Linked DNA regions of Arabidopsis thaliana. The protein of the gene in region 2 interacts with the protein of the main gene of each other region in a biochemical or structural test. Each region holds a gene or a part of one and is shown on either strand. Other genes may lie near its edges. The genes, in order: SOS2 and SOS1.

The links.
Region 1: of the proteins of SOS1 (region 2) and SOS2, one has a biochemical effect on the other in vitro, tested with the Arabidopsis thaliana proteins (one study listed by BioGRID).

Annotation. Positions count from the first base shown.
Region 1 is NC_003076.8:13,632,799-13,640,791, reverse strand, and holds SOS2 (Protein kinase superfamily protein), read right to left. Parts: upstream 6,394-7,993; 5' UTR 6,175-6,393; intron 5,877-6,174; 5' UTR 5,860-5,876; coding exon 5,695-5,859; intron 5,609-5,694; coding exon 5,546-5,608; intron 5,448-5,545; coding exon 5,376-5,447; intron 5,291-5,375; coding exon 5,183-5,290; intron 5,086-5,182; coding exon 5,011-5,085; intron 4,943-5,010; coding exon 4,763-4,942; intron 4,639-4,762; coding exon 4,549-4,638; intron 4,446-4,548; coding exon 4,323-4,445; intron 3,812-4,322; coding exon 3,692-3,811; intron 3,464-3,691; coding exon 3,347-3,463; coding exon of another isoform or gene 3,332-3,346; exon of another isoform or gene 3,129-3,331; coding exon 3,072-3,128; intron 2,985-3,071; coding exon 2,910-2,984; intron 2,826-2,909; coding exon 2,730-2,825; 3' UTR 2,417-2,729; downstream 1-2,416. UniProt on the Arabidopsis thaliana protein: Involved in the regulatory pathway for the control of intracellular Na(+) and K(+) homeostasis and salt tolerance.
Region 2 is NC_003071.7:454,447-464,272, forward strand, and holds SOS1 (sodium proton exchanger, putative (NHX7) (SOS1)), read left to right. Parts: upstream 1-2,555; 5' UTR 2,556-2,623; coding exon 2,624-2,849; intron 2,850-2,952; coding exon 2,953-3,003; intron 3,004-3,081; coding exon 3,082-3,173; intron 3,174-3,253; coding exon 3,254-3,331; intron 3,332-3,426; coding exon 3,427-3,584; intron 3,585-3,666; coding exon 3,667-3,768; intron 3,769-3,857; coding exon 3,858-3,975; intron 3,976-4,054; coding exon 4,055-4,107; intron 4,108-4,193; coding exon 4,194-4,259; intron 4,260-4,360; coding exon 4,361-4,405; intron 4,406-4,555; coding exon 4,556-4,608; intron 4,609-5,092; coding exon 5,093-5,277; intron 5,278-5,389; coding exon 5,390-5,434; intron 5,435-5,521; coding exon 5,522-5,629; intron 5,630-5,844; coding exon 5,845-6,076; intron 6,077-6,153; coding exon 6,154-6,453; intron 6,454-6,634; coding exon 6,635-6,732; intron 6,733-6,815; coding exon 6,816-6,947; intron 6,948-7,029; coding exon 7,030-7,248; intron 7,249-7,334; and 9 more. Other genes in the region: AT2G01970 (Endomembrane protein 70 protein family), read right to left, coding at 222-373. UniProt on the Arabidopsis thaliana protein: Acts in electroneutral exchange of protons for cations such as Na(+) or Li(+) across plasma membrane. Involved in Na(+) and K(+) homeostasis.

The DNA.
Region 1 (7,993 bases), on a different chromosome or scaffold from region 2:
CTACGGCAACAAAAAAGAAACTGTCATGGGTTTCCTGGAAAAAAATGACAAGACCAAAGAGAGAAGGGGGTTTAGGATTCCGAGACCTGTACCAATTCAACCAAGCACTACTTGCAAGCCAGGTATGGAAACTGCTACAAAGACCACAAAGTCTGCTCTATAGAATGCTTAAAGCCAGATACTTTCGACATGGGAATTTCCTTAGTGCGTCACGAGGCACGAGACCGTCTTATGGATGGAGTTCCCTTCGGTTTGGATGTGAATTGTTGAATCTCGGGACACAGAAGAACATTGGAGATGGTTACACAACCCAAGTGGGCAATGAGCCGTGACTACCAACCACTCTACCCCGGCCACCTCTGTTATTAGCAACGACGGACCCGAAAACAACGGTTTTGGCTTTACTCTGTCCGACTACATCTCAATGAGATGAACAGAAACTCACCGCACTAATCGATCCGATTGACCATCCAATTATCCGGAAAATATATGTACCCCTTATACCAGCACATGACTCATATGTGTGGAGCTTTACAAAGGATTGCTGCTACACTGTCAAATCAGGATATTGGGTAGCAGCAACAAAGAGCACAAGTGAGCCACCTATCACTCTGCCGCTATCTTCACACCCTGATATTGCCGACCGTTTATGGAAACTAAACATTGTCCCCAAATTGAAGCATTTCTTGTGGAGGACAGCTTCGCTTGCTCTCGGGGTTGCCGATAACCTAAGGCGACGGAACATCATCATCAATCCATACCGTGCACACTGTTGCACGGAAGCTGAAACAGGGAATCACATCTTTTTTTCCTGTCCGCATGCGGAAGCGGTATGGAGGACCACTTGCCTAGACACCACCATACCATGTAACTCGCAAACACCCCTGGAAGACAAATTAAGGTACCTCTTTAGGATTCACGACGATAGGAATGTCGATGAATTACACAGGTACCTCCCTTTTTGGATTATGTGGAGATTATGGAAATGCCGTAATGATCTAATATTCAACAAAAAGCTTATTCCGGCACGGGAGACGCTCGAACTGGCAACAACGGACACTCAGGAGTGGATTGAGAATGTCATTAAACAAGTGAACACAATTCCGGCTCCTCACACACAGAGAACAAGAAGAGATAACTGGCTACCACCACCTAGGGGATGGGTGAAATGTAATTATGATGCGTCGCATCATGAAGGAGCTGGAGCCTCAGGACTTGGTTGGATAATTCGTGATTCCAATGGCTTTGTGTTGGACTGTGGTATGGGACAATTTGAAGGACGAAATACGATAGAAGAAGCTGAATGTACATCACTTATCTGGGCAATACAGGCTGCGTGGGGATTAGGATACCGAAACGTAATATTCGAAGGGGATAATAAAACCATCAACCAAGTTATTAATACGTACGGTGCTCATCTTCGACTCAAACACTACATGGGGACAATACAACATTGGAGAAGTGGTTTCATAAACTCGAAATTCTGTTTCACCCATCGTGAACAAAATGCCTGTGCCGATCTATTAGCGAAAAAAGCTATTTTAGGTCCAAATCTCTGGTCTTTTGTATCATTCTTGTCCTGTATTTTTGATGTCTCTTGTAAACAATGATTATGACACTCGTCACTAATAAAGGTTTTAGAAGGAAAAAAAAAAATGAATATCAAAATCAACAAAAAACCATAACCAAAATTTTTTCCAACAATTTTAAAAACAAAAACCCATGCATGTATGTTCATCTAGTTTTTAAAAAAATAATACAAGTGTATATACTGTACTTTGTATATATTATCAAAATGCATGCAAAGATATGAAGATAAAATAGTATAATATTAGATATTTAGAAAGAAATCAATGTACCCCCTTATGCTTTAAGGGACTCATATTTATAATTTACATTAATTTGTTAATTAATGTACTAAGCGCTCTTAAAAGTGTTCGCTTTGATTCTCTAATCAATGTTGTAACGTCTTCATTTGAATTCCTTTGAACCCTTCATGGGCCTCCGAATGCTCGGCCCGTTACCCATTCTCAAACTCATCTCCTTTTCGCTCCGTTGTACAAACTCTTCGGTTCGCTCGGCTTCAACTATGGGCTTCGGTCGAGAGCATGTCCCGTTGACCGTTGTCTTGTTGACTTTTAGGTGGCAAGCTTCGGATGGATCCGAACACATAGTTCGAGATTCGACACCAACAAAAATAACGATATTAATTTGAGTATTAGATTGAGACTTGTGTTATGTATGAATTGATGTTTGTGTTATGAAATGATATTACATGTATCATGATCATATGAGTTAGCGACTTTAAAAATCAAGGTTTATATAGTAAAATATAACCAAAAAGAACCATAATTTAGTTTAATTAATTTGGGTAGAATTTCTCTAATCCCAAAAAAAAACCCGACAAAACCCTATCGAAAGAATCCAAACCAAATGCTCTGCCTAGCTTAAACTCGTATAGTCTTGACTAAATAAAGGCATAAAGCTCATGTAGTCTAGTAAGCAAACTCATATTGGATGTGTTTTGTTAGTACATGTCTTCGCAGGACAAGTTTTGAGAAGTATTGCCATACACAGAGAACAGAGGGATCCAAACCAATGGCCAAAGCAAACTACAAGACACAATCAAATTAGAATACTAGCTCAAGAAGCAAATCTTCCAATCTCCCTGAAGAATAATTAGGTCATTTATTACACAAGTGTACATTTTTATTGGATTTAAGTTGGGATCAAAACGTGATTGTTCTGAGAATCTCTGACTTTGGTATTCCTTCTGTTGCCCTCCATATTATGTTTTCCAGTTTCGAACATAGCTTCTTGTAGAACTGCGATACCACAAAACAAAATATCACTCTAATCCGCAACACAGTAATGATGCAACTATTGTTATTGGATATATATTTATAAACCTTGTGATATTCAAGAGTTTCACCAGCAGCCTTTCTTACGTCTACCATGAAAAGCGATGGTGCCACCTCGTAAATCTGCATGTAGGTTAATTTCAATTTGCTAGATACCCTTAAACTGAAGCAAAGCAAACTTATATTACAATCACAACAAGCAATAATTACCTCTATCACAACAGCTAACTGTCCGGCCTTGATCGAAGATAATCCCTCGAGCCTTGTCTGTTGAGCACATAGACGTAACAAATCATAACAATTGTACTCTCTGCTAACATTAAAAATGATAATTCACACTAGGACTTTCGTTTTTGAACGCCAGAGATATAAACTAAGTTTCCTTGTCAATCTTATCAATCTATCTACACATGCGTTTAACAGTTGAGAGTTTTAAAATAATGCATAATCTCTGTGATAAGTGTAATATGCTAGGAATTCGTTACCTTGAAGTTTCGTGTATGAGACTTAAAACCCATTGAGTTCGCTACAGCCTCAATGTTAGCAATTATCTCACTAGGTTCCCTTCGAGAAACAAAACGGGTTTGCCTTTTAACAAAATCCTGCGAGATCAAAGGATCAGCCATCAATATGCAGGAACATTTTGGATTCCATTTGTATCTACTAATGCCATGCAACCAATCATCTAATGAACTTATAGTTATTATAACAAACTAAGAACACAGCATCATAAGGCAGTCAAAACGGGCAGTCTGAAGAATAGATGCTACCGACATTCTTTTATTCGAAATGGAGATCTCTATGACCAGTAATAGAAAATCAGGTACTACCTGTCGCCTGTCAAATAGTGCAGATAAATTTAAGCCTTGTGATAAGGTAATCATCTCAAAGGCATTCATCATCAGGGGCCCTTCATCATTTCTCTCTACATTCTCCGCTACATAACTGCCCTGTGAACAAGTGCAATTGACAGGTCAACTTAATGAAAAACAAGTAAAAGTAACTTTAGCTAAGACAGATACTGAGGTTTTAGTTTAACAATTGAAGTACAAGTTTTAGAAGAGCAAGAGCCTGAGTTTAAGTAAAACATTCTAAATATGCATTAGAAATTACGGTATCTATATATATCTAGGCTATACCAAAGCTAAGACAATCTTAGCAGGAGATATATATTGATAGGTACATGAACATTGTAATTAGCCCTAGGGGTATTCTGGATTTTGTCTAGGGTTTTTGGTCGAGAATAGAGAATTCTCTTGTAAATCTAAGTCTTCCTAAGGTCTATGGTTTGGCGAATTGAATAAAGAAGCAGTTTACAGGTTTGGTAACTAACACATGCCTACTATTTTGTTCTATCCTGTAGCAAACACTTCTTCTTGGTCATCCAAACGTTCCTAAGAGATCTTAACATTTAAATGGAATTGACCAGCAAAGAGCATATAATGAAGGCGAAGCACAAACCTCAATTCCATCAAAAACTGCACGAATATCATCCAAATTCACTTCTTCTTCTTCCCTTGCTCGTATAGGCACATAATTTAATCTGAACCAAGGATCTTTCTTGATTCCTTGAATTTGAATACGCTGCTCTAATTGAGAAACAATAATAGATAAACAGATATAATTACTAGAACATTAAATATCACCAAAACCTGATAGCTAGGAGAGAACAAAGCAAAATACTCACTGTTTTGGGATTGGGGTCAAGTATCCTATGTATTAAAAACTTCACTTCTGCGGAAAACCACGGTGGACAAGAAAACTCTGCTGCATTTATCTGTAAATAACAATGTGTAAAAGCTCAAAACTAAGGGTGAAATTGCAAAACCAAATCAATAAACGGTTTGACAAAAGCCATGACAAGGAATTCATGATTTCTTCCCGAAAGATATGTTACTTACTTTTCTGTACAACCCTGGAAGATCCGTCTCGGAAAAAGGTAAATATCCAGCCAATATAACGAAAAGAATAACCCCGCAAGACCAAATATCAGCTGCTGAACCATCGTAACCCTGTCCACTAAGTACCTCTGGAGCTACATAGTTCGGAGTTCCACATGTGGTACGCAGAAGTTCTACTCCCTGATTGAGTATATAACAAGTTAATGACCACGTAAGCAGACTGCTGAAGCAGAGATAAGAGCACTTACTTCCTGAGGCAATGCACTGAGTCCGAAATCCGAAACCTTCAGATTTCCATTTGTATCGAGTAAAAGATTTTCTGGCTAGATAACATAACATAGCGACACAAAAATATCAAGTCTGGATTGCAACGCAGTGAGATATTCTGAGGAATATTGGTAAACAAAAACACGTCTTTACCTTTAGGTCACGGTGGTAAACACCCTTGCAGTGACAATGAGCAACAGCATCTACAAGCTGTTGAAAGTATTTCCGAGACTCACTTTCTTCAAGCCTCCCTTTATGAACCTGCATGAAAGATTTCATATATTAAAAAATTAAGTAGAGAGGTTTTAACTAATGGACGCTGCCTACAAGTATGGAAGTTCCGTACAATTCTATCAAAGAGCTCTCCTCCTGTCACAAACTCCAAAACTATATATATTTTCGAAGGACTCGCCAACACCTACATCGGGAAAATCACAAAAAAACAACAGAAGAACAATGATGCAAAAACACTTCAGAGATAAAATTTCGCAGATGCATGGAAACAAACAAACATACCTCATACAACCTCACTATGTTCGGGTGACGAACAATCTTCATTATAGATATCTCTCTTTTTATCTGTAAAAGAGCTTTAAACGAAATCAAAGATCATACCATTGACGCAACAACCTTAGTTTCCATGTAAAAAACAATCCAGAACATACCTGATCAACCATTCTGTTCTTAAGTATTGTACTCTTAGCCATAATTTTGATGGCTACATTATCACCAGTGTCTGTGTTCCTCGCAAACTTAACCTTAGCAAAGGTTCCTTCACCTATTGTGCGACCAACCTCGTACTTGCCCACTCTTCTCATTTTCTTTGTCATTCTTTACAAACTTTTATCTGATCCATTGACCACAAGCTATCAATCAGATTATTCAGAGACTTAGTAAAAACCTCTTTCCTTAAACGTTTATGATTTCGATTTCAATTACTTTACGTATTGTTTGCTAATTTTAGCTCCTACACATCCATATATACAAAATTACTCTGTATCCATAATTTTGATTTCGCAGCATAAATCAACATAAATTCGATCAAGGAAACGACGAAAAGGTAAGGATCAAGATCATAATCAATATATAAAATTCGTACGGCTGGAATTGCGATTGGGCGTAGTCGAAAGAGAATCGTGAAATACCAGAATTGGATTCGCAGAGAAGGGTTGATGAAAGAGGCGTAGGAGAGAAGGAAGGCTCGTGATGCGATTCGCGAAAGCCGTGAATCGTCGATGCGAACGTCCGTGCAGATCCGTTGAGCATTTCGGGTCGGGTTATTTGACTGTACCCGTATACGACCTGAATTAGTCGTTCGGGTCAATTATCCGTTTGGGTGATTAAACTTTTAAAAACTAACATTGCATTTTGAATCTTTCAATTTAATAATTGTGAGGTTTTCAAAATTTAAAAAAGAAAAAAAAAACTAATCTAATATCACTTATCAATTTAGTAAATTATTTTTAAAAAATAAACATATAGTATTTTCAAAATTTATTTTAATTTTTTTCAAATTATCTAGACTATGATTAATCGAACTCAAATTAGTAAAATTTTCTATTTTTAACTACAAATTTTTAACTTCATTTAAGTCAAGCAAGGTTCAAAAAAACCAAGAGAACAAGGATGTCTAAGTTTAAGACAAAGCATACAAAGATACTTTCCAATGCTACAAAGTGATATATAAAAAAGTTCGATAAGGATTCGTGAGAGTTTGGAAACAAACACTAGGGAAAAATTTGGCGTAAGTGATAACACGGTTTATCGACGGTTCATTCACAAAGCAATGGTCAAAAAGATGGTCACGGTCAATATACTAGGTGATGTTGAAGAGGCTTTTATGGCCTAGATTTTCGCCGGCACGAGAAGAGCTTCATCAACAAGGAAGAGGACTATGGTTCTATAGTCGGTTGGGATTTGCTTTAAAGGTTCAAGATCTTTTTTAAAAAGTTTGAAAACTTCTTGATAGTCCTATAGTCGGTTGGGATTCACATTAAATGTTCAAAAATCATACATACAAAGTAACGATGACAATGTCAATGAAAAATTGGCAATGAAGATGATAAGAAGGAATACAAGAGCAAGAAAATAATGAATGTGAAGAGAAATATGAAATGTAGGTGTTGGTGGCTAATTGAATATAAGAAAAAATATTGATAAGAATGAAAAAGTATTACAGTAATATTTTTGCATTATTAAAAATAAAAATAACTATACATTAGTACTTTTGCATTATGTTTTTTTATATAAATAACGTAAATGAAACTTACAAAACAATTCCGTTAAAAAGTTATCAATAGTAATTTTTGATTATTAACTTATGATCATATGTAGGGGTGTCAAAATGGGTCAAAATTCATGGGTCAACTCAACTCAACTCAACCCATGAACCCTAATGAGTTGAAATTTTTGACTCAAATGAGTTGATGAGTCAAATGAGTTGATGAGTCAATTGGTTTGATGAGTAAAATGAGTTAGGTTGTAATGGTTAATGGTTTCCATGGTTTATCCAATTAACCCATCAAATTTTGTAAAATTGAATAAAACCAACTAAAATCTCTAAACCAATGCCAATTTAGGTTTAACCAACACATCTAAACCAATTTAATAAAATTAATATTTTTCCAAATTTCTTAAATATACAAGCAATGAAATTGAGAAAAAGTAAACTCGTAATTTTTCCACCAAAAAACATAAATCCGTGATTTTCCCGCAAAAAAAAGTAAACCCGTGATTTTCTCGCAAAAAACGTAAACCCGAGATTTTCCCGCCAAAAACGTAAACACGAGATTTTCCCGCCAAAAACGTAAACCCGAGATTTTCCCGCCAAAAACGTAAACCCGAGATTTTCCCGCCAAAAACGTAAATCCATAATTTTCTCGCCAAAAACGTAAACCCGTAATTTTCCCACCAAAAACGTAAACCCGAGATTTTCCCGCCAAAAACGTAAATCCATAATTTCCC
Region 2 (9,826 bases):
AACAATCATCAAACACAAGTAAAAATCAGTCATATAACAATGCAATCGAAGATCTATCACATTTTAAGAACACGAATCGAATTTTTTCAAGGTCAGATACAAAAATTCAATACCAACGCAAGCTTCTACAGAAATTTGCAACGATCAATTTATCACTCATCAAAGAGAATCACAGATCTAAGCTACCGACAAAGGAACTGAGATTAGAGAATTGGATTTACCTGGGATTGTGAAAGGGGCCGACCTTGTTGGCGTAGAGAGGAACGGAGTCACCGTCCTTGTAACGGTGGTCGGAGGCATCGGATCTGACAGTACCGGCGCCGGAGAAGATGAGAGCTCCGATAAAGAGGAGCAGCGTCGTTGGTAATCTCATGATGATGTGTGTTAATGTGAGAGGAAGAAGAAAATCGTGAGATCTGAGTTTGCTTTATATTTTTGAGAGCAACGCTTATGGCAAAAGGACGATTATATTACTTTTATTTATTTTATCTCTCTTTTTAACGAATTTTCTTCTACTAAATGCTTAAGAAAAAATATTGCGAATAAAAAGCATTATGTAAGAAAATAAAATCTGCGACATTTTAATATTTTTTTTAGAAATTGAAATGATTATTTTTATATATTTTATTTTTGGTTGTTTTCTTAAATCTTCTAAACAAAATTCGTATTAATTCACAAAATTTTAAATTATTTAATACGTTTCGTAAGAAACTTGTGAATGGCAGAGGCAAGTGATATAAACTGAAGCAAATAAAACTTTCTATAATCGATATTTTTTGTTACAATTGTCGTTTTTTTTTTAATAAGTAGCAATTTTCTATTGGTAGAGTGATTCTCTCGTTCTTGTGCTTTCTACTATTTATAGGAGTTTTATTGCATTCCATGTGACTATAACAATCAGTAATGTTCTTTTTACTCTTTAACAAAATCATGATGATGAAGATACAAATAAAAAGGTGGTCAAAAGAAAAAAGATCAATAGTGCCTCGTTTTTTTTTTTCACAATAGTATCTCGTTTATGAAATTGATTAAAGCAAAGCAAGTAAAAAGTATTATCAATTGGAATATAAACCAAATTTTTTGTACATAAAATGAATGATGTAGTAATTTATATACCTGATTATCTTAACTAAACTCAATTTTTTGCAACCAAACCAGATAAATAAGAACACTATAAAATTAAGATGTTAATTACACAGACAATAATTTTATTTATTTATAAAGTTTATTTTTGTAACAGCTCTGATACTTATTGATTTTGCACCTTCTTTGATGGTGGTGGCGAATCATACACTCATCAGCGACCATGATATGTAATCCATCAACGAGTTCTCTCTGAATCTTCTCGCCTGGAACCAGTTTTCCAGAGCATAAACATAAGCCTTAGAACAAAACAAACATCTACTATCCCCTGAACTACTAATGATAGAGTAATCAATGTAAACTCTTTTCCTATTGTAGAATTTACCATTAGACAAATTATTATGCATGTTGTTAGCATCTCTACTCTTGAAAAATCTTCGTAAGCTGATTGGAAAATCAAAGAATAACAAACTAACTAACTAACAATCACTACTCTATAAGCAAATCTTGAATACCAATAGAGATTCTTTATGTTGGATTCTATCTTTGAGCATTTCATTAGGATCGACGGTTGGTCGATTAATCAATACTAACCCAAACAGTCTTTTAACATGCACACTTGATACCTTGTAGGTGCTTCTGGGTAGCATGAAAATGATAATTGGTGTTATTCTGATATGCGAAATTGAAAATGTTGTTGTGCATCAGCTAAGCATAATTGAAAGTTTAAAAAATATTATAAATTTAACGTGAAGAATTGAAAGGTATCAGATTAATGTTTTGGATCAGCCGAATAGAGTCAGGCTAATCCAAATTCTCAAATATTTTCGAAACCTTAAACACATCAAACTCCACGAAGTAAACACACTCACACACATATCAAAATCCACATTATAAATGTATTTTTGGTAGGCTAGTCGTCTAATTCTAAAATAGCCAATTTACATTTGCAATTGTTTATTCAAAAAAGTACAACAGTAAGAGGTCTTATCAATTAAATCATAAGAAAAATATGTCCCAAAATGTCAAAAAACCAACTACGAATATTTCTTTTCCTTTTAAGGCCAAACCAGGTTTTGGAATACTTATTACAAATAAACTCAATTTCAATAAATTCTTGTACACAAATTAAGCACTAATTTCATTGTGAAGATACCATAGTCACATTCACATCTATATGACATCAATCTATAAAATCCAAAACAAACTATATATTATATTTATATTATTTTTTTGTCATCATTATATTTCCATTAATTTATCTAATTCTGGTTCTAATATACTCTTGGTCAGAAAAAATATAAACATTGAAGAATTGGTCGGCTGAAAATTGTGAAAAATATATAGCAGAAAAATATGATAATGTTATCATAAACAAAATTAATAGTAAAATTTAATTTTAATTTAACACTACAGTACTATACACGTGTGTATGTATAGCTCTATAAGTATTTACTCTCTTTCAGCTATTTATTTTTTCAGTGAACGAGCATTCTTCTTCTTCCTCTGTGTTGTTGCTTCTTAGATATATTCAAATAAAATGACGACTGTAATCGACGCGACGATGGCGTATAGATTTCTGGAGGAAGCGACCGATTCGTCTTCTTCTTCTTCTTCTTCCAAACTAGAATCTAGCCCTGTCGACGCCGTTCTCTTCGTCGGAATGTCTCTGGTACTCGGTATTGCTTCTAGGCACTTGCTTCGTGGAACTAGGGTTCCTTACACTGTCGCTCTTCTCGTTATCGGAATTGCTCTTGGATCTCTCGGTTCGATTTCGTTCCATGGAATTTCTGATTTCTTCATCTGTTTTAATCCTTGAAGTCAACGTAATCATGCTTAATTGCTAATTCATGTTGTTTGGTGTTTCAGAATATGGAGCTAAACATAACCTTGGAAAGATCGGCCATGGAATTCGTATCTGTAAGTTTTTAGTTTCGAATTTTTCTTCTCTTCCATGGCTGGCTTTGTAAGAACTATAGAATCAATGTTATTGTGCAGGGAATGAGATCGATCCAGAACTTCTTTTAGCTGTTTTTCTTCCGGCTCTTCTTTTCGAGAGTTCGTTTTCAATGGAAGTTCACCAAATTAAGGTTTATTCCTCTGGCTCTAATTCCTAGTTAAGCTTAAAGGTTAAGAGAAATAGGTACTGAATACTTGCATGATTCTTTAGAGGTGTCTGGGACAAATGGTGTTACTTGCTGTCCCTGGAGTTCTTATTTCAACAGCTTGTCTTGGATCGCTTGTGAAGGTATGAATTAGCCTGGTTGGTATTAAGTAGCTGTCCTGAAAACAAAGAAAGACAAATCGATTATTATGTTATGAAACTATACTTGCTATATGCAGGTCACGTTTCCGTATGAATGGGACTGGAAAACGTCCTTGTTGCTTGGGGGACTTTTAAGTGCTACTGATCCGGTTGCTGTTGTTGCTTTGCTAAAGGAGCTTGGTGCTAGTAAGAAGCTAAGCACCATAATTGAAGGGGAATCCCTGATGAATGATGGGTAAATGACGTTATCTTCTGTCATGGTTTGGTTAGTTTTGACATTTATGCTCACTCTTCATGATTTTTAACAACAATTCCAGGACGGCGATTGTTGTTTTCCAGTTATTCTTAAAGATGGCTATGGGGCAAAACTCTGACTGGAGTTCTATAATCAAATTTCTGCTTAAAGTCGCACTTGGAGCGTATGTCTTGATCTTTTTTCATCTGTTGTTAGTGATATCAAGTTGCTGCTGTGTTCTTATCAGTCCAACGTGTTCTTCTGTCTATTTAGTGTAGGCATTGGTCTGGCGTTTGGCATTGCATCAGTTATTTGGCTCAAGTTCATATTCAATGACACTGTAATAGAGATTACTCTTACAATTGCAGTGAGCTATTTCGCATACTACACTGTACGTCTTTCTGTAGACCTTGAATTCCTGTGCTAAGATATTCTCTTTGTAGTAAAACTGAGAGTTTATTGTGTGACAGGCTCAAGAGTGGGCTGGGGCTTCTGGTGTTTTGACGGTCATGACTTTGGGCATGTAAATTTCAGTGATCTCGTTATTTTTTTTTTCCCTTTCTTTTGTTATCATTTAAGAAGTCTCTTCTCATAAAATAACTGTAACAGGTTTTATGCTGCATTTGCAAGGACAGCCTTTAAAGGTGACAGTCAAAAAAGCTTGCATCACTTCTGGTATTTCCAGAACTTGTGGAATTTGGACTTGTTTTTTTATATTGTAACTCTATGTAAAAGGTTGATCTGTGTGATATAAATTTTCCCGGTAACTTGTGCAGGGAAATGGTTGCATATATTGCAAACACTTTGATATTTATCCTCAGGTAAGGGTAAATTTTATAGACTCATATCATGCTTGTGCTTGCCAACCCTAAAATAGAAGCTCATGGGTAGAAAAAAGAGCTATTTTACTGCAGTCTACTCTTTAGCCTGGTGTTGCAATATTGACTGTGTTTCTCGTTTTATGTTTGCAGTGGTGTTGTCATTGCTGAAGGCATTCTCGACAGTGATAAGATTGCCTACCAAGGTGCCATTATTTAATGTTGATAGTGTACAGTATTTTTTTCCTAGCTAAAGTAAATTTTGTGAACATAGTTTTGTCTGCATTTTCGACAGTTCACTGTTAATTGAAGATGAGATCTAAGTCATTACATAGGACTCCCACCTGTTATCATAGTTTTCTGTCGTTGTTAACACACCTTACTGTTCATGGTCTTTGGTTCTCGAAGGATCACTAATTCCATAACGTGAATCAGTTACAAGAATAAGAAAAAAACTGGCATTATTGGTTACGAAATATTGAGCGAAAGTTACCACTGTGCTAGGACTGAGACAATTGTATTCTTTCACCAGTCTGTTATTATTATTAAGTACCTGTTAGAGATGTACTGTCTTGGAACCATATATTTTTTCTCTGGAACCATATCTGCATAAGGCACATGATATACTTAACTTTAACTATTTTTTATATTTTGGATCTAACAACTCTTCACGACCCAAATTTCTTACAGGGAATTCATGGCGATTTCTTTTTCTGCTATACGTTTACATCCAACTATCGCGTGTTGTTGTTGTTGGAGTTCTATATCCACTTTTATGTCGTTTTGGCTATGGTTTGGATTGGAAAGAATCCATTATACTCGTATGGTCTGGTTTGAGGGGCGCAGTGGCTCTTGCACTTTCTTTATCCGTGAAGGTTAATTTTAAGAACATCTGTTAAAGTTGTTCTTCTCTCTTAAATTTCTGCACAATGTTTTTTTCCAGCCACATTGATTCTGTGCTGACTTACTCGCACTCATTTGATTCAGCAATCAAGCGGAAATTCACATATCAGCAAGGAGACTGGAACATTGGTAAGTTAGTCTAAAGATGTTATTGACAACTTAAAATGATTATGCAAATTATTGTTTTGTCTCTTCATATTCTCAGTTCTTTTGCAGTTTCTTTTCTTCACGGGTGGAATTGTGTTCCTAACTCTGATAGTTAATGGATCCACTACCCAATTTGTTCTACGCCTTCTTCGCATGGATATTTTACCAGCCCCCAAGGTCAAAAACTTCTCTCATACGAATAACTTTCCGAGTTTTAAGTAATCAAATATATGTGTAAACAGAGATTTTTTTGCTTATGCTTTGTATTCATGTGTAAGTGACCGTGTTAGCCTGAGTCTGAGCCTTTAAGCTGTATAGTTCAATAGGGTCTGTATGTTCTAGTCAGTAATGTATTCGAAGAACCTTATTAGAAACCACTTTCCTTTTGACAGAAACGAATATTGGAATATACAAAGTACGAAATGTTGAATAAGGCCTTACGAGCGTTTCAAGATCTAGGAGACGATGAGGAGCTAGGACCTGCTGACTGGCCTACAGTTGAAAGTTATATTTCAAGCCTAAAAGGTTCAGAAGGGGAACTAGTTCATCATCCTCACAATGGCTCTAAAATTGGAAGTCTTGACCCTAAAAGTTTAAAGGACATACGTATGCGGTTCTTAAATGGTAGTTATGATCATGTACCCTCCAATATACTATTTTACCTGGTAGATTATTGACACTTTGAAAATTGGTTGTGTCAGGTGTGCAAGCAACTTACTGGGAGATGCTTGATGAGGGCAGAATATCTGAAGTTACTGCTAATATTTTGATGCAGTCAGTGGATGAGGCGCTTGATCAGGTTTCTACAACTTTATGTGATTGGAGAGGTCTAAAACCACATGTCAATTTCCCAAATTACTACAACTTTCTTCATTCTAAAGTTGTCCCACGCAAGTTGGTCACATACTTTGCTGTCGAAAGACTAGAATCTGCTTGCTACATTTCTGCTGCGTTTCTTCGCGCACATACAATTGCACGACAGCAATTGTATGATTTTCTAGGTATGTACAATCCATACTCTGCAGTCTGCATCACACTTTGAAAACAATGACTAAGAATAAAACTTGTACCGTATCATCATTAATTGTCAGAGTTTTTGTTTGCAAGTATCTCAACTTAGTAAGAACAATACATTAACCCAACCCTAGTTTTGTCTCATACTTATCTATCTTCTCTACACAGGGGAGAGTAATATTGGTTCCATTGTAATCAATGAAAGTGAAAAGGAAGGAGAGGAAGCAAAAAAGTTCTTGGAAAAAGTCCGATCTTCATTTCCTCAGGTTGAGAGTCTTGTCATTTCTTTCGGGTGACTTATCTTTCTTGCGGTGAGGCACATATAATCTTTGATTAACATTGGTTTCAGGTTCTCCGTGTTGTGAAAACAAAACAAGTAACATATTCAGTGTTGAATCATTTACTCGGTTACATTGAAAACCTCGAGAAGGTTGGCTTGTTGGAGGAAAAAGAAATCGCTCATCTTCATGATGCTGTCCAGGTACCAAATTAAAGAATCTCATTCCTTCAACTATAGTCTTGTCTCTTTTGTCTTATGCTTTTGGTCAAATCTATCTCTGCAGACCGGCTTGAAAAAGCTTTTGAGAAACCCTCCAATAGTTAAACTTCCAAAATTGAGCGACATGATCACCTCACATCCGTTATCGGTTGCTCTTCCTCCTGCATTTTGTGAACCTTTAAAACACTCGAAAAAAGAACCAATGAAACTGCGTGGTGTCACGCTTTATAAAGAAGGTTCAAAGCCAACTGGAGTCTGGCTTATTTTTGATGGCATCGTTAAGGTAACCCAAAACTTATCTTTTACTTTTAACTCGTAAGTCTGTATGATCTATTACCTTCATAACTGAATGTTATAACAATCCTACAGTGGAAAAGTAAGATCTTAAGCAACAATCACTCGCTGCATCCAACTTTTTCTCACGGTAGTACATTGGGACTCTACGAAGTCCTCACTGGGAAGCCATATCTGTGCGACTTGATTACAGATTCTATGGTTCTTTGCTTTTTCATTGATAGCGAGAAAATTCTATCACTACAATCAGATTCTACCATCGATGATTTCCTTTGGCAGGTACGTCTCTATTAGAATCCATTTTAGAGAGACTCATTTCTTGATTGTTAAGTTGCTTCAACTTTTTTCGGTTTTTTTTGTTTGCAGGAAAGTGCATTGGTTCTTCTCAAACTCTTGCGTCCTCAGATATTTGAAAGTGTGGCAATGCAAGAATTACGAGCCCTTGTTTCAACTGAAAGCTCGAAACTTACAACATATGTGACGGGAGAATCAATCGAAATCGACTGCAACAGCATTGGTTTATTATTAGAAGGATTCGTAAAACCGGTTGGTATCAAAGAAGAGCTTATATCATCTCCCGCCGCATTATCACCTTCTAACGGGAATCAAAGCTTCCATAATTCATCAGAAGCTTCAGGTAATTAATTGCACAGTACAGCAGGATCAAACCTTTTTAAATGTCAGCGAATGATATAAATCGAATTAAATCAAAAATGTGTTTTGTTTTTTTGACCACAGGTATCATGAGAGTCAGTTTCTCACAACAAGCAACACAGTATATTGTTGAGACGAGAGCAAGAGCAATCATCTTCAACATTGGAGCATTTGGAGCTGATAGGACTCTACATCGAAGACCATCTTCGTTAACACCACCACGTAGCTCAAGCTCTGATCAGCTTCAGAGATCATTTCGTAAAGAACACAGAGGTCTCATGAGCTGGCCTGAAAATATTTACGCCAAACAACAACAAGAGATCAATAAAACGACATTAAGTTTATCTGAACGAGCAATGCAACTCAGCATTTTCGGCAGCATGGTAAAAAAGATCTCAATGTTGATTCTTTTAAAGGTTGTTATCGATGAACTTCTCGACTAACCTGAAGGTTTTTATCTTCTGATATTCTCGAATATAGGTTAATGTGTACAGAAGGAGTGTAAGTTTCGGTGGGATCTATAATAACAAGTTACAAGATAACTTGTTGTACAAAAAACTTCCACTAAACCCAGCTCAAGGTCTCGTTTCAGCCAAATCAGAAAGTTCAATTGTGACCAAGAAGCAGCTTGAAACCCGTAAACATGCGTGTCAGCTTCCTCTGAAAGGGGAAAGCAGCACAAGGCAAAATACGATGGTTGAATCAAGCGATGAAGAAGATGAAGATGAAGGAATCGTTGTGAGAATCGATTCTCCGAGTAAAATCGTTTTCAGGAACGATCTATGAGAATTGAGATGTTTGTAACATAAGAAAACAAAATTGTTAGCTTACTCTTACAGTTTTACTCATTCAAATGTAAAAGCAAAATAATAGTAATAGGCAAAAAAGAAAGAAAGAATAAGCTAGTGTATGTTGATAAAAGTTGTGAAAATCATTTAAAGTTATTAGAATGTATATGCAATTCTGCTTATATTTTCGAGTTGTTTTTTTCACTCAACCGATCAATTGTTATCTTTTCCCTATCTATCACTCGTAATGTAATAAATTTGTTTTTTTTTCTGGGTAAAAGTTTAAAACTATATCTGCCAATTTGAAAACAAAATTCGTATAATATTCGTTTATTCATATTTACATAATCAGTGTTTTAAAAAGCAGTTTAGGCGGACCTAGGCGCAAGACGCTGATGCGACGTCTAAAATCGTGTAGTTCGCCTAAAATCGTTTATACCTTTAGTTTTCAATTAAATTTATATTTATATAAATAGTTATAAAGATTCATATAATGTTTGATATAGTTAAATAAATATTTTTTCTAATTTTTGTTTATGATTTAATATATGTATTTTTTTTAGATATTTATATATAAAATTACATTTATAATATTTATATTATAAATGGTTTAAACGTCTAAAATCGCTTAGATCCTGATCACCACCATGTCTAGCGTTTTCTTAACATTGATCATAATATTTCTCCACTTTCTTTATTTCTTTGGCTACGGTCAATTTTCTTCTTTAATAAGTGGGCTAATAATTTTTCTGTATGTTGTCAAAAAGAAAACGTTGGACCCCGACTCCACTAATAAGGTCAAAACTTCAAAATTCGCATAAAATCTGTAACTATCCAACTAAGCTTATATTGCCACGGTTCGTTAAATACTTCACTCAAGACAAACATTCGAATGTTTTCATTACGATTTCAATAATAATTAGCTGATGTGGAAGTTTCAAATTGTAAACATATCTAATTAAGTCTCACATATGTTGGAGGTTAGTTGACATGTGAAAGATCATCCAGTTAATTCTAAAGTAAAAAGTATGGCTAATCCACCAATATGATAAAGAACCGAATTTAACTCTCATCACAAAAACAAGAAGAATATCACAAAATCTTAACCAGATCCACGATGAGCCA